Arabidopsis thaliana: one gene and its partners. The main gene of each other region encodes a partner of the protein of the gene in region 2 in a complex. Each region holds a gene or a part of one and is shown on either strand. Other genes may lie near its edges. A codon is read from its position in the direction of its gene.

What was found.
Region 1: the proteins of SERK1 (region 2) and CLE9 are in contact, whole or in part, in a crystal structure (PDB 7OGU), measured with the Arabidopsis thaliana proteins. Residues at the interface, in NP_177328.1 of Arabidopsis thaliana: Asp51 (codon at 3,468), Thr53 (codon at 3,462), Leu54 (codon at 3,459), Val55 (codon at 3,456), Thr59 (codon at 3,444); in NP_564251.1 of Arabidopsis thaliana: Pro117, Leu118, His119, Asn120.
Region 3: the proteins of SERK1 (region 2) and IDL3 are in contact, whole or in part, in a crystal structure (PDB 7OGZ), measured with the Arabidopsis thaliana proteins. Residues at the interface, in NP_177328.1 of Arabidopsis thaliana: Asp51 (codon at 3,468), Thr53 (codon at 3,462), Leu54 (codon at 3,459), Val55 (codon at 3,456); in NP_001318520.1 of Arabidopsis thaliana: Arg87 (codon at 779), Lys88 (codon at 776), His89 (codon at 773), Asn90 (codon at 770).

What each region holds. Positions count from the first base shown.
Region 1 is NC_003070.9:9,189,743-9,193,092, reverse strand, and holds CLE9 (CLAVATA3/ESR-RELATED 9), read right to left. Parts: upstream 1,591-3,350; 5' UTR 1,545-1,590; coding exon 1,047-1,544; 3' UTR 503-1,046; downstream 1-502. Other genes in the region: AT1G26590 (C2H2-like zinc finger protein), read right to left, coding at 2,384-3,350.
Region 2 is NC_003070.9:27,016,611-27,022,620, reverse strand, and holds SERK1 (somatic embryogenesis receptor-like kinase 1), read right to left. Parts: upstream 4,464-6,010; 5' UTR 4,047-4,463; coding exon 3,959-4,046; intron 3,531-3,958; coding exon 3,398-3,530; intron 3,313-3,397; coding exon 3,241-3,312; intron 3,124-3,240; coding exon 2,980-3,123; intron 2,877-2,979; coding exon 2,805-2,876; intron 2,710-2,804; coding exon 2,638-2,709; intron 2,555-2,637; coding exon 2,442-2,554; intron 2,312-2,441; coding exon 2,180-2,311; intron 2,022-2,179; coding exon 1,680-2,021; intron 1,575-1,679; coding exon 1,180-1,574; intron 1,094-1,179; coding exon 779-1,093; 3' UTR 504-778; downstream 1-503. Other genes in the region: AT1G71840 (transducin family protein / WD-40 repeat family protein), read right to left, coding at 80-197; SEC6, read right to left, coding at 5,876-6,007. UniProt on the Arabidopsis thaliana protein: Dual specificity kinase acting on both serine/threonine- and tyrosine-containing substrates. Phosphorylates BRI1 on 'Ser-887' and CDC48 on at least one threonine residue and on 'Ser-41'. Confers embryogenic competence.
Region 3 is NC_003076.8:3,045,500-3,048,254, reverse strand, and holds IDL3 (inflorescence deficient in abscission (IDA)-like 3), read right to left. Parts: upstream 1,245-2,755; 5' UTR 1,038-1,244; coding exon 738-1,037; 3' UTR 502-737; downstream 1-501. UniProt on the Arabidopsis thaliana protein: May be involved in floral abscission.

The DNA of each region.
Region 1 (3,350 bases), about 18 Mb from region 2:
AAAGTGATATGTACTAGATAAAATACTCGAAATTCACAAGTTACAAACAAAAATTATAACTTTTTCTGATTCATCTTATACCAAAAATGCATTCAAGTTATTTCTATTTTACTCTATAAAGATTATTTTTTTCCCCTCCAATTTTGCTTCTTGTTTCCTTTTCTGTTTTGCCAGGCTTGCACTATATTCATCATCTCATCTTAAAACACTTTTATCCCATAAATTTGGCGATAAACATTAAGATATATACATTTTCTTTCATAACTTTCCTTTTCATAAAGAGTAATAAATAATATTTTCTACAACTTATAATCCGTTGATTAAATCGGATGATAACACGTACATGGTGGACGGTGCCACATTTGTAAAAATGAGTAGACATAAAAAATTTGGCTGGCAAAATGATAAAGGAAAATCTGGTTGGCAAAATTATAAATAAAAGTTTCTATATTTGCAAAGTTTTTACTATTGTCTATTGACAGAGACAAGCGAAATAAATATCTTTACAGCGAAATATCACACGAAAGAGAAGAACATAACATATATATGCCCCATCAACCTTTTTAAATTTTTATTGATAGACCAATGGAAACTTTAGAGTTACATAAATACAGCTCCCAAATTAATGGAGCTCATGCGTTTCTTCACCTCTCCTCTCCCAACCATACTAAATCTTTTTTTCTCCTTTCGCTTTCAAAACTATAATTTATCATTTTCTCATTAGAAAAACAAAAGAAAGTCCCTTGCAAAAATACACTATTTCCAAGATTGTTTTCACACTACAAAGCCCAAAAACAAGCGTGGAAATAGCTTAGTTACAATATTACCATAACGCAAGACTCCATTACAAGATCAAGAAAGTAGAAATAAGAAATTTCCGCAAAGAAGACCAAGAAGAACTAACGAACCATCTTCTTGGGCCAAAATAACTCTAGCTATAAAGTACACAAATCTCTCTCGAACAAATCCGAGAAACGAGTTAAATTAGAAAATATGTGACAAATGTTTCTGTATATATGTATGTATAGAAACTTGAGGATATGGTTTTAGTTGTGAAGCGGGTTTGGACCAGAGGGGACGAGTCTTTTGTCGACGCCGTACCTTGGATCAATCTCCGGAGGAGGAGGAGAAAGAAGTGGCTGCTTCCGACTGCTACGGTGGATTCTCTGAAGCTCAATGCACATAGAACGCGCGTAAGGACGAATGAAGGAATCACACGAACGGTGAGGAGTCACGTGGTAAGGGTGGTGGTTAAACCTCGGAACGAATCGGTGCGTTCGGTAACGGAAGTTTCTTGATGTTCTGTTTCCTTCGTCGACGACGGTTGAAGAAGCGGTGGAGGATTTGAGAAGTAAAGAGACGAAGAGAAGAGAGATCAAGATCAGACGATTCAGGTGAGTCATCGTCATTGTTTTGGTTTCCAAGAGAGAGCGAGAGAGAGAAAGTGAGAAGTGGTCTTGGAGAAGAAGAAGTTTAAAATCGAGAGAGGGAAGATATTTGGTGGAAGCAAATTGGGATATAAATGCAACACAGAAGAAGCACATGAATCGATGTTATGACGGTTAGTTTTAGTAAATGAGAGGGCAAAACTGGTTATACAAAAAAAAGTGGGTCCTTCGCTTAGTTCGTTTTCATTGACATAAATACCAACCCGTGAACTTTATTATATACATTTCGATCCTAGATTTATTTCACTTTCTTTAGCTTTTTCATACAATACGTTATACGTACAAAATAATGGGTTTATGTAGTAATTACGTACACAAGATAAACAAGAACGTGTATTTGAGTGGTTTCGTGACTCTCAAGTTAACTCCTGGGTCTTTATCGGCTTCTATAGTTTAAAGGCCTTAACAGGCCCAATAGGAGTCTATCTAAACCCAACTACCTATAAATTAGTAAAGTTACCAAATTTGGGATTTATTTATTTTGCTTTTCCTCCTTTCAATTGAATCAACAACTTTAACTTGAACACAACTCTCTCCCTTTTTATGTTAGAACCAAAACATCATCATAAAAGCAATAGACAATGGCTCTTGTAGTCTTGACTTTGATTGTGCTAATATGAATACAGAGGAAGTCTTATAGGTGAAAGCTCGAAAAAGGAAAAAAAAACTTTAAAAGTAACAGCTTTCTTTGAAGACAAGAAGAATGAATCTCAGTAATCAGTAAGAAACATGAAAGGTCCCTAAAAAGCTGAAGATAATATATACATCAATACTTGAGTTCATAAAGCAAAGAATTGGCTCTAAGTGATAAGCAAACTTTATATGAACAAATCAAAAAAAACTTTTGATCTAGTTCTAAAATGTGGAGCAAAGAAAACAAACAAAAAGTGGGGATGAAATACTATCAGAGAGAACTATAGTTCTCAGGTTCTGATTCATTCATCAGTATCCGAAACAGGAAGATAGAGATCGATTTGGTTACGCATTTCAGCTGCGTGGTTTGCAATGGAATGTGATCTCTTGTGACCACCTAAAGCTTGGCCTGATTTGAACATCCTGAAGCAAATTGGGCACTCATGACCTTTGCTCTTCACCTTCTCACCACCTTCTTTCTTAACCATTGAGGATTTGCTATCTTTGAACCTATGATGAATCTTGCTGTTTGTGTCTGCACATGAATCAGTTTCATAAGAAAACAAGGCTCTCTTGCTTTTGCTCAGCTCATACTTTGTTCCTCCCTCATTACTATTCCTGAACCTGATCAATGAGTTGTTGAATCCAGATCCAAATCCAGTGTTCCTGTCAACAGAAATGTCTGACTCCGACTTACTTGGACCATTCATGAAGTAATCAGAATCAGAGCCATCTGAATCACAGAGACTAACTCCATCATCATCAGCAGATCTCCATTGGTCATCTACTGCATTCTTCACATTCATGATCTTAAACTCATCCCCTGAAGATGACTTATTCTCAACAATCGCAGAGTTGTTGTCAGATGACTCACCAAGAGAATTCATCACCATGTTACGTCTTTTCTTGAAACTACTAGAATCACTCGACAACATCATCAAATTATAAGCCCCATCCCTACGTTCTTGGTCAATCTCAGAACCAAAAGACGAGCTCCCATTACTCAAAGATTCAGAATTTGATTGTTTCATGACCACCCTCTTGGATCTTTTCCTCATAGGAGCTGAGGAAGTCTCACTTTCAGTATCAGATTGGCTATTATCATCCATCAACATCTTCTTTACCTCACCGTGACAAGCCATGTGACCTCTAAGAGCTTTCAAAGAAACGAACACTCTACCACATTCTCTGCAACCAACTTGTTGTTGTTGCTTATGTTTCTGAGCCATCATCTTTCTCTGATCCACCAACCTCTTCTTCTTATTGCCA
Region 2 (6,010 bases):
CGAAAATAGAAGAGTCACATACACATACACATATATACATACGATAAAAAAATCACGATTGAAGGAGATAAAAAAAAACCTTCTTCGTCGACATCGATTTCACGGAGGACATCGGATTCACCAAGGAAAATCTCTCCTTCATCCTCTTCTTCCATCGCTAGATTATTCATCTCTGTATTATTAGTATTATTACTCATCTTCTTCTTCTTCTTCTTCTCTCTCTCACCACAGTTTTTTCCAGCCGCGACTAAGAACAGGAAGAGGACGGCGGAGATGAATGGAGGTGTGACGTGTCACGATGATGGAACAAGAAGACACAAAGTACAAAAACCCTTCTTCTCTTTTTTTCCCAACAAAAACCCTTCCAAAAATTTTTCTATTAAACGACGTCGTTTGTATACACAAAAGTGAAACGGCGTCATGTGAGTAGCGCATTATAAATAAACGACGCTGTTTCGCTTTTGTGTATTCTAACGACGTTTAGTAGAACAAAATTGAAAGGGTTTTTGTAGCAAAACAGCGGAGTTAGTTTAACGTATTTTTGGATGTACATATATTGTGTTCATAGTTCATACTTCATACAATAGACAGTAATCTTACACAAATCTTTAGATTACAATTTTTTTCCCTTTTAATCGAACCATAGCACAAAATCACAAATCTTTGAATGCTAGATTTCATTTTACATTAACAATTAAAAAAAACGAAAACTTACGGGTAAAAAAACTACCTACCTTGTAAAATTTGTTATTGTTCAATAATTTTATGTTTTTTTTTTTTACCTTGGACCAGATAACTCAACGGCGTGCAAATTGTAAGTAGAATCAAGAATCCAATCAGAGTTAGGATTAGGACTCAAATCAATCTCTTCCCTCAAAATCTCAACTTTTTGCCATTCGTCCCATTTCTCCGCAAGCCCATCTCCTTCCAGCATCCTTACAACTTCAGACATCTTTGGTCTTTCCATTGGTGATCCTTGCGTGCATAGCAACGCCACTTGTATCACTTGTTCCAGTTCTCTCTCCTCGTAGTTTGTTTGAAGATCTGGATCCACTAACATCTCTAGCTTCTTCTCCTTCAACAATCCTTTCACCTAAACCAACAAACAAGTATTTGAGATTAGATTCTCGTTTCAATGGTTTTTGTTGGGGTCAAATGGAAGTTTTATGTTGTTATTACCCAGTCAAGTAACATGACGTCGTCGTCGTTAGCTAGCCGAGCGAGATCGAAAGCTCTTTGTCCTGTGATTAGTTCTAGAAGCATGATTCCGTATCCGAAAACGTCGGTTTTCTCTGAAGATTTTCCGGTTGAGAGATATTCTGGAGCGATGTGACCGATGGTGCCACGGACTGCTGTTGTCACGTGAGTGTCTTTATAGTCCATTAGCTTTGCCAACCCGAAATCTCCAACAACCGCTTCGAATTCTTCGTCTAAGAGGATGTTTGCTGCTTTTACGTCACGGTGAATGATCTTCGGATCGCAGTGATCATGTAGGTAAGACAAACCTCGAGCTGAGCCTAGCGCGATTCTCTTCCGCGTTGGCCAATCAAGCGGAGGTTGTGACGGTGGCCTCTCTGTGTCATTAGTGTAACCAACAATTATGAACCCATAAAGGAAAACATGAAAAAACACTTCACGTCAAAGTAATTGAGAGAGAGCACAAGATGTTTAGTTTTTACCTCTGAGACACGAAGCAACACTTCCATTGGCCATGTAAGGATACACAAGCAATCTCTCGGTCGGTGTCATACAGAAACCTCGTAATCTCAACAGGTTTCGATGAACTGCCATACTTATCATCTCTACTTCTGTTTGAAACTGGAGCTCTCCACCTGGAGTTCGCTCTTCCTTCAGTCTCTTGACAGCAACAAGAGTTCCGTCTGCCAAGCGTCCCTTGTAGACTTTCCCAAACCCACCTCTGCCCAAAATGTTCTTGTTACTAAACCCATCACTCGCCACTTGTAGCTCCCGCAAAGAAAACCTCTTGAGCTGTCCCAGATGAACTTCTGGATCTTCTTCGGCTGCAAAGAGATTTTGCAATCGAGATTTTACTCAAAAGAGTTTGTAACTTAAAAAACAATGACTTATGTATTGATTTTCATTAACAGTTGTTCCAATACTTTTCTGCAAAACAAAATTGCTGGCTAAGAACAGAAACTAATGCGAATAATAAACTCACCAGGGACATCGAAGAAAATATCTAGTGGCTTTCTTCGTCGCCACCAAGCAAAGGCTATTGCAGGAGCAGCAAAGAGCAAAGCAGCACCTGCAGCAACTCCACCAGCTATTGCTCCAGTTATACCATACCCACCTGAAATCAAATTAGATCATTTGGTTATTGCCTTATTGGCAAGATGAGTTATATGAGAAAAAGGATTGACAGAGAAGCAAAGATTTCATCTTCTGTTTCCTATAATGTAAACTAAAAAGAGGAGGCTTACTCGGGGTGGAAACTGGGGGAGGTTGAATAAAAGGTGGTGGAGGAGAAAACGGGGGAGATCCAGGACATGGGTGACTTGTAACAGGTCCACATAGGTCTAAGTTATTAGCAAAACTGCACAAGGAAATGAAAGTTTCAGAATAAGTTCAGACACTGACACAACAACTGAAATAACTGAAGAGGATAAATCATAGAACCTGATGGGTGTGAAGAGTGAGAAGGAGCCATTGTCAGGAACTGAACCAGAGAGTCTGTTATTTGATAGATCTCTGTGTTGCATCCATCAAGGTTAAGTGCATTAACTCAACAAATCAACTGAGGGAGAATGAAGTAGACATAAATGAAAGTTAATGAGAGGACTCACAACACTTGAAGGGTAGTAATATTGGTCAGTGACATAGGAATTGACCCAGTGAGACTGTTGTTGTTAAGCCGGCTATTCTTGCATGTAAAATTTTCAGCAAAGAGTCAAAAATTGGAACAAAACCTAAGATTAAACAAAGACTGTAACTGAGCCGGTAAAGCATATGTATACTCACAGAAATCTCAGCTTTGAAAGCTTTCCCAATGATTCCGGAATAGGACCGGAGAAGCTGTTTAAGTAAAGATCCAAACTCACTAAGTTTGTCAGATTTCCAAGATTACTAGGAATCGGGCCAGTTATGTTGTTACTGTAAAGCTCCCTGTAAGAAAATAAGAAACTTGTTAAAAAGATTTCAATTACAAAAGGTAACTCCAGTGCTTCTTCTGTCAAATCTTGGATTTGTTTTGTTAAAGCATGATGCATAAGTGGAACTTACAAATACTGCAAATTCTTGAGCACACCAAGCTCTGGAACTAAATGGCCAGATAACTCTGCATTCCCCAAATCACTGTATTTGACAAAAGAAACAAAAATGTCGGTAACCACGCTGAGGTCAAAGTTTAAAAAGTGGGATTAGTAGAAGAAAGCTTTACACTCTTATGACACTGTTCTCGTTGTTGCAAGTGACATGGAACCATGTGCAAGGATTCACTAGCGTAGGATCCCAGCTCTGCAAGACATTGTTTGGATCAACTAGAGTAACCCTCAAAGTATGCAAAGCATCACCTATAACAAGAACAACAAATCTACACAATTAGCATCAATTGGTGAAAAGTCTAATTTCAAGAGAGAACTATTCAAACAGGCCTCTCTGAGATTAGAGGCTAATAATTAAACAAATTCTTTACAAAACCAAAAACAAATGAAGTCTTTCAGAGAATGTTTGGATCAACAACATCAATCTTAAGATATCAAATAACCCAGCTTTTCAACCCAAAGAACATGCCTTTACAATATACAAAGTTGATCTGAACAAGAAAAGCAAAACAGTGTATTCAAAGTACTAGCCACTAAATCTTACAAATACAAAGAACAACAACAATTTTCATAAATCAAAATGCAGACACTAAAGATAGCGATTCACCTCCAAATAAAAAAGAATCGAGAAAGTAATTGAGAAACGAGTAAAGCTGAGTAATTGAGTAACCACGAACCTTCCAAATTAGCAGAAGCAAGCCACAGTGAATGATTCGGAAGTAAGATCAGTGAAAGTAAGATAAACACCACATAACTCGACTCCATTTCAAACAACAATGCTAAATTTCGAATCTTGATTTGATCTCTTCAGATCCGAGAAAACCCTAACTTCCGAAAATCACCACCATTAACACTTTACAGAGACAACCTCAACACAAACTCACTCATTTTTTCGATAACCCTTTTAAAAACCCATTAGCATTAAAACAAACAAAGAGTAAAAAATAAAATCAAAATCCTAATTCTCCGGCGTTCTCGTCGTCGTCTTTCCTCAATCAAACCACACTCTCTCTCTCACACACACACTGTAAAACAAAAGTTGAATAAAGATGAAACTTTTTTTTTTAAACAAAAAAATAAGAGCTTTTTGGGGAAAATCTACGTGAAGTAATAATAACAAAAGAGCTTTTTATTAAGCCGCAACAACAAGCCTGCCAGAGAAACTATGATTAGTGTGTTGTTGTTGTTCCTCTCTTTTTCTTCTTATGAATAAAATAGCTTTTTCGTTGATATATTATTTAATATTTTTAAAGATCTCAACGGGCTTTATTTATGGGCATGCAGTGGTGTAGAGGAGGAAGACGAGGAATATAAGCTGCCCGTAACGGTGCTGCTGCCCGAACTGACCGGTCAAAAAAACGGGTTCGGGGGAGAGAAGAGATGGTTGAAAGTGACATCGCTTTGGGTTTGGGGTAAAGTAGTTGAAAGCTCTTAAGGCTATGCACCCGTTTCTCCTGGTCAAACCTCTCTCTGTTGGGTCCCTTTTTTCTTTAAGTAGAAAAACCTTTTCTAAATTTTTAATGCAAGTAAGATTCGTAATCCCGTATTTATGAAAGTAAAGTTAAAATGTTAAAGAGGTTCACTATCATGTGAGCAATCTCATACCAAAAATGTGAATTTTTTTTTACAATGGTTGTGAATTTTGTGATTGATAAACCATGCAACAATAAAGATATTAGTGTTTGCTGATATTCTTTCTAAACCCAACTTTGGCAGAGATGAGATTGAAAGATTTGAGTTTTGTCAACAAAAAATTTGGTGGAAGAAACTGTAGAGACGGCAAAGACAAAATTTGGCCAAGTTCCACTGTGGAAGTAGTATGGCGTGCCCGATATGACTTTACTACTGTTTCATCACAATACCATTAAACAGATACTTGTCTTATCATTTAAAAAAAAAAAAAAAACTGCCCATACAATTTGAGTAGAGGTAAAAAGTAAAATAAAAAGCAGATTACATTTGTTACCCTTTAAATATCACACATTATGCTTACCCCATGTGGTGGATGGACTCTTTATTTTCATTATGATCAAAAGGTTTCTAGAACAAAATTTAATTAAAGTAAAAAAGAAACAGTCATTTCAGAAAATATTTCAAGATAATGCTTACAATTATTTATTTAGATATTGTGAGTGGCTAAATCAGCTGCCAATGAGTGAATTTACAAACTTTTTTATAATCCCCAACATTTTTTATATTCATGATAAAAATATGCTTCAAATTCAAAATTTCACAAATCAGAAATAATTCTAAAAACAATAAGAGCTACCTTGTTATGAAAGAGAAACGAACTTTAAGAAGATTTTATCAAAATTAAATGAAACAGTAGAATTAAAATTTGCGACAAAAAAATACGCCTCCTAAATACAACGGGATAATATCCTAGTGCAAGTGGCCACCGAGCGTTTCAACTTTCAAATCCAGGAATAAAGGTAAGAAAAAGAACAAAACAAGAGAAAACACAGAATTTACAGAGGAAAGATACCATGCAAAGAAAAAGAAGACATGGACGCAAACGCCATAATTTGGAGAAAGAACATCATCTCAACTAGAAAAGCAGTTACGGACGCAAACGCTGAACGCTGTTTTACAGATTAAGTGAGTTTTCGCCACATAGATCCTTTGGAAGCAGTTAAGCACTTGACTCTCGGGAATACAAATCCTGTCTTTGGAGGATTACCATCTACCAGTGTGTTCTCATATATCTCTTTGCACTCTTGTACCACCTG
Region 3 (2,755 bases), on a different chromosome or scaffold from region 2:
TATTTAAACACCAACTCAAATACTAGTATATGTAGAATAACCTTCTATTTGTTATTACCATAACTTATAAGAAGAGAGTGGATATAAAATATTGAAATCACTACTCGGCTTATATCCATCAATATTCTACCAAACAGATGTAGCCTAAATTGATCGGGACTTGTATATATCTCAACAATTATCATTATGTCCGTAATAATCCACGATTAGGATACAGTGAACATATGATATATAATTTCATATATATCAAATTAGAAGACGGAAAATAAAAAGAACAATAATTGTTTAATTAGAAACCGACCCTTCTATCCTCGGCTCTTGTACACTTAGAGTAGACAACTTTTTATATATGTTTTTAGTATAAATAAATAATAAAATTAAAGACATTTCACTTTTGTTGTGTATAAAGTGTCTTTAGGAAGACACAAATCTCAAATTAAAGACATTCATTATTTTATTATTATTATTTTTTATAGTTTTATATTTAAAGACATGTATAAATAACCACCAATGTGGATGCTCTTACGTACTTGCAATATTTCAATGGATCAAACAAGTTCCAATATTAAACTAAAAAATTTGATCGTATCCACAGCATTGCCCATAAATAAATCAAACTGAAATCTATTTACATCAGTTTGAACCAAATTCAAAAGGGGCAAAAACTAAAACAAAAAAAACTTACAGAAGTAAAAAGGATGATTCATTAATCAAACCTTTGAACTACAAGGTGAAGATTAAGTCTTAGTACTACTTAAACCGATTTCGTTATGTTTTCTGGAAGGACCAGAAGTTGGAACCGGAAACTGACGTGGCAGGGACCCCAAGAACTGTACACTTTTGTGATCTTGTACTTGATGATGGACATGATCATGAGGTGGCGAAACGACGTCCTTTTGTTTGGGTGGCGAGCTTGTGTTGAAGACGTTCGTGGTTCTTGCTCCATTGCAGCAACTCAAAAGGACAAGAAGAAGAACAAGAATAGGAATTGTTCTCGTGAGTTGATATTTTCTTGATCGGTGGCTTCGAGAAGACATTGGTGTAAATTGGGAGAGTGAATAGAGAGAGATGGAGGGAGGGAAGTGATTTTTGTTTGAAGGAGTTTTGGGTGGAAGTATTTAATATTTAAAAGGTTTTATTTTTTTGTTGATGGGTGATTGAATGAAAAAGAGAAGGCTGTGAATTGTTGACAGCTAGAAATATGGGCACATCAAGAGAGAGAGATTTTGATTGGAAAGATGTTGACTTATGGTTCTATTTGTATGTTTCTTTTTATTTACTCATATGGTTCTATTCTTATCTCTCTTATTAAGGAAAACCATGCACTAAACCTAAATCTAGTTAATCATGGATATTTACGTAGTAATTACATTATTCAAAACATACTAAATCAAATTGGAGACACAAGATGTTTTACCCCTATACTACCTTCACTTGAGTTTAAATTAACTATTTCTGAACATGATCTCATATTGGAATGCGTAAAAAACGTTGTTGGGCAAAAACAATAACGTCTCTTCATAGCTCTTGATATGACCCACAAGACAAAAAAAGTTGGAGGAAGACTCCTTTATAGCTGTCTTTAATTAGGTTCACGTATAAGTACTATTGCATATTTATGATATTTCTAATTTTGCGTTTGAAATAACATGTATTATGTGGGTTTGACCATGTCTGATCATATAATAACGGTTTTAGCATTGACCATTAGGATTACAGGTTATTAACATTGTCAAGATTTTTAGTTTACTTTCAATTTAAAATACATTTCACATTTGTTTCTATAATATATTATCAATTAATCCTCTCTGTGGAGTGAAAGTGAGAGGGGACAAAGAGAAGAAAACGAAAGAAAAATAATTAGTGGTGGGTCAAGGTCAAGCCTTTTCATTTCATGTTATGTGAAAAAAATATAATTCATATTACTTGACGACAAAATAAAATAATTTCATATCAGTTTGATAATACTATAGTGTATTCTATCCTTGCAATCTCTTACAATTGATTGAGCAAACCACGCGCATATGCATAAAAAAGTTTCTATATTTCCTAGATCTATCCTTTACGTAAAACAAGTTCGAGCTAAAACGTAACGTGACTTAACGACCAGGCAATACAACTACTGCACCGCAAGACCGGATCAACCAATTCTAAATTTTAGTCATCATCAAGACATCAACTTTTTATTTCTTGGACATCTTCCTTAACGTAATCATCAACTTAAAGACCGTAGCTTTAGTGGACACTTTTGAGTTGCATCCTCTTTTGCGGCATATATATTGAAGGCAGAGAATAATGACGATGAGACCCCTTTGTACGAACAAGATGTCAGAACTTAGAAGAACGAAGGAAACCGAACATAAAAGGCAACAACAGTAGTTGTGTCAGAACAACAACAGTAAATGAGATGTAAAAGCTTGTCCAGGCTAGTTCCTTAGCGTTACTGTAACAACACTGTTGAAAATATACGAGTATAAAATAGTACTATTACAAATTACAACCAAAGCGATTTTCGTGCTAATTACCGACCATCTGTTCATACACGTTTTTTTTTTTTTTTTTACCGACCATCTGTTCATACACGTTTTCTCCAATGCATCATTCTCATTGATTTTTTTTTTTTATTGTCACAGTATTTTTTTGTAATCCGAAAGGTTAAATGCTTCTCTCTAAAGTTTAGTGACTTTTGCAATACAATTACCCTCCGCCAAAAACTTAAGCGCAATTCTTCACTAAAAGAAACGTTATTTCATTG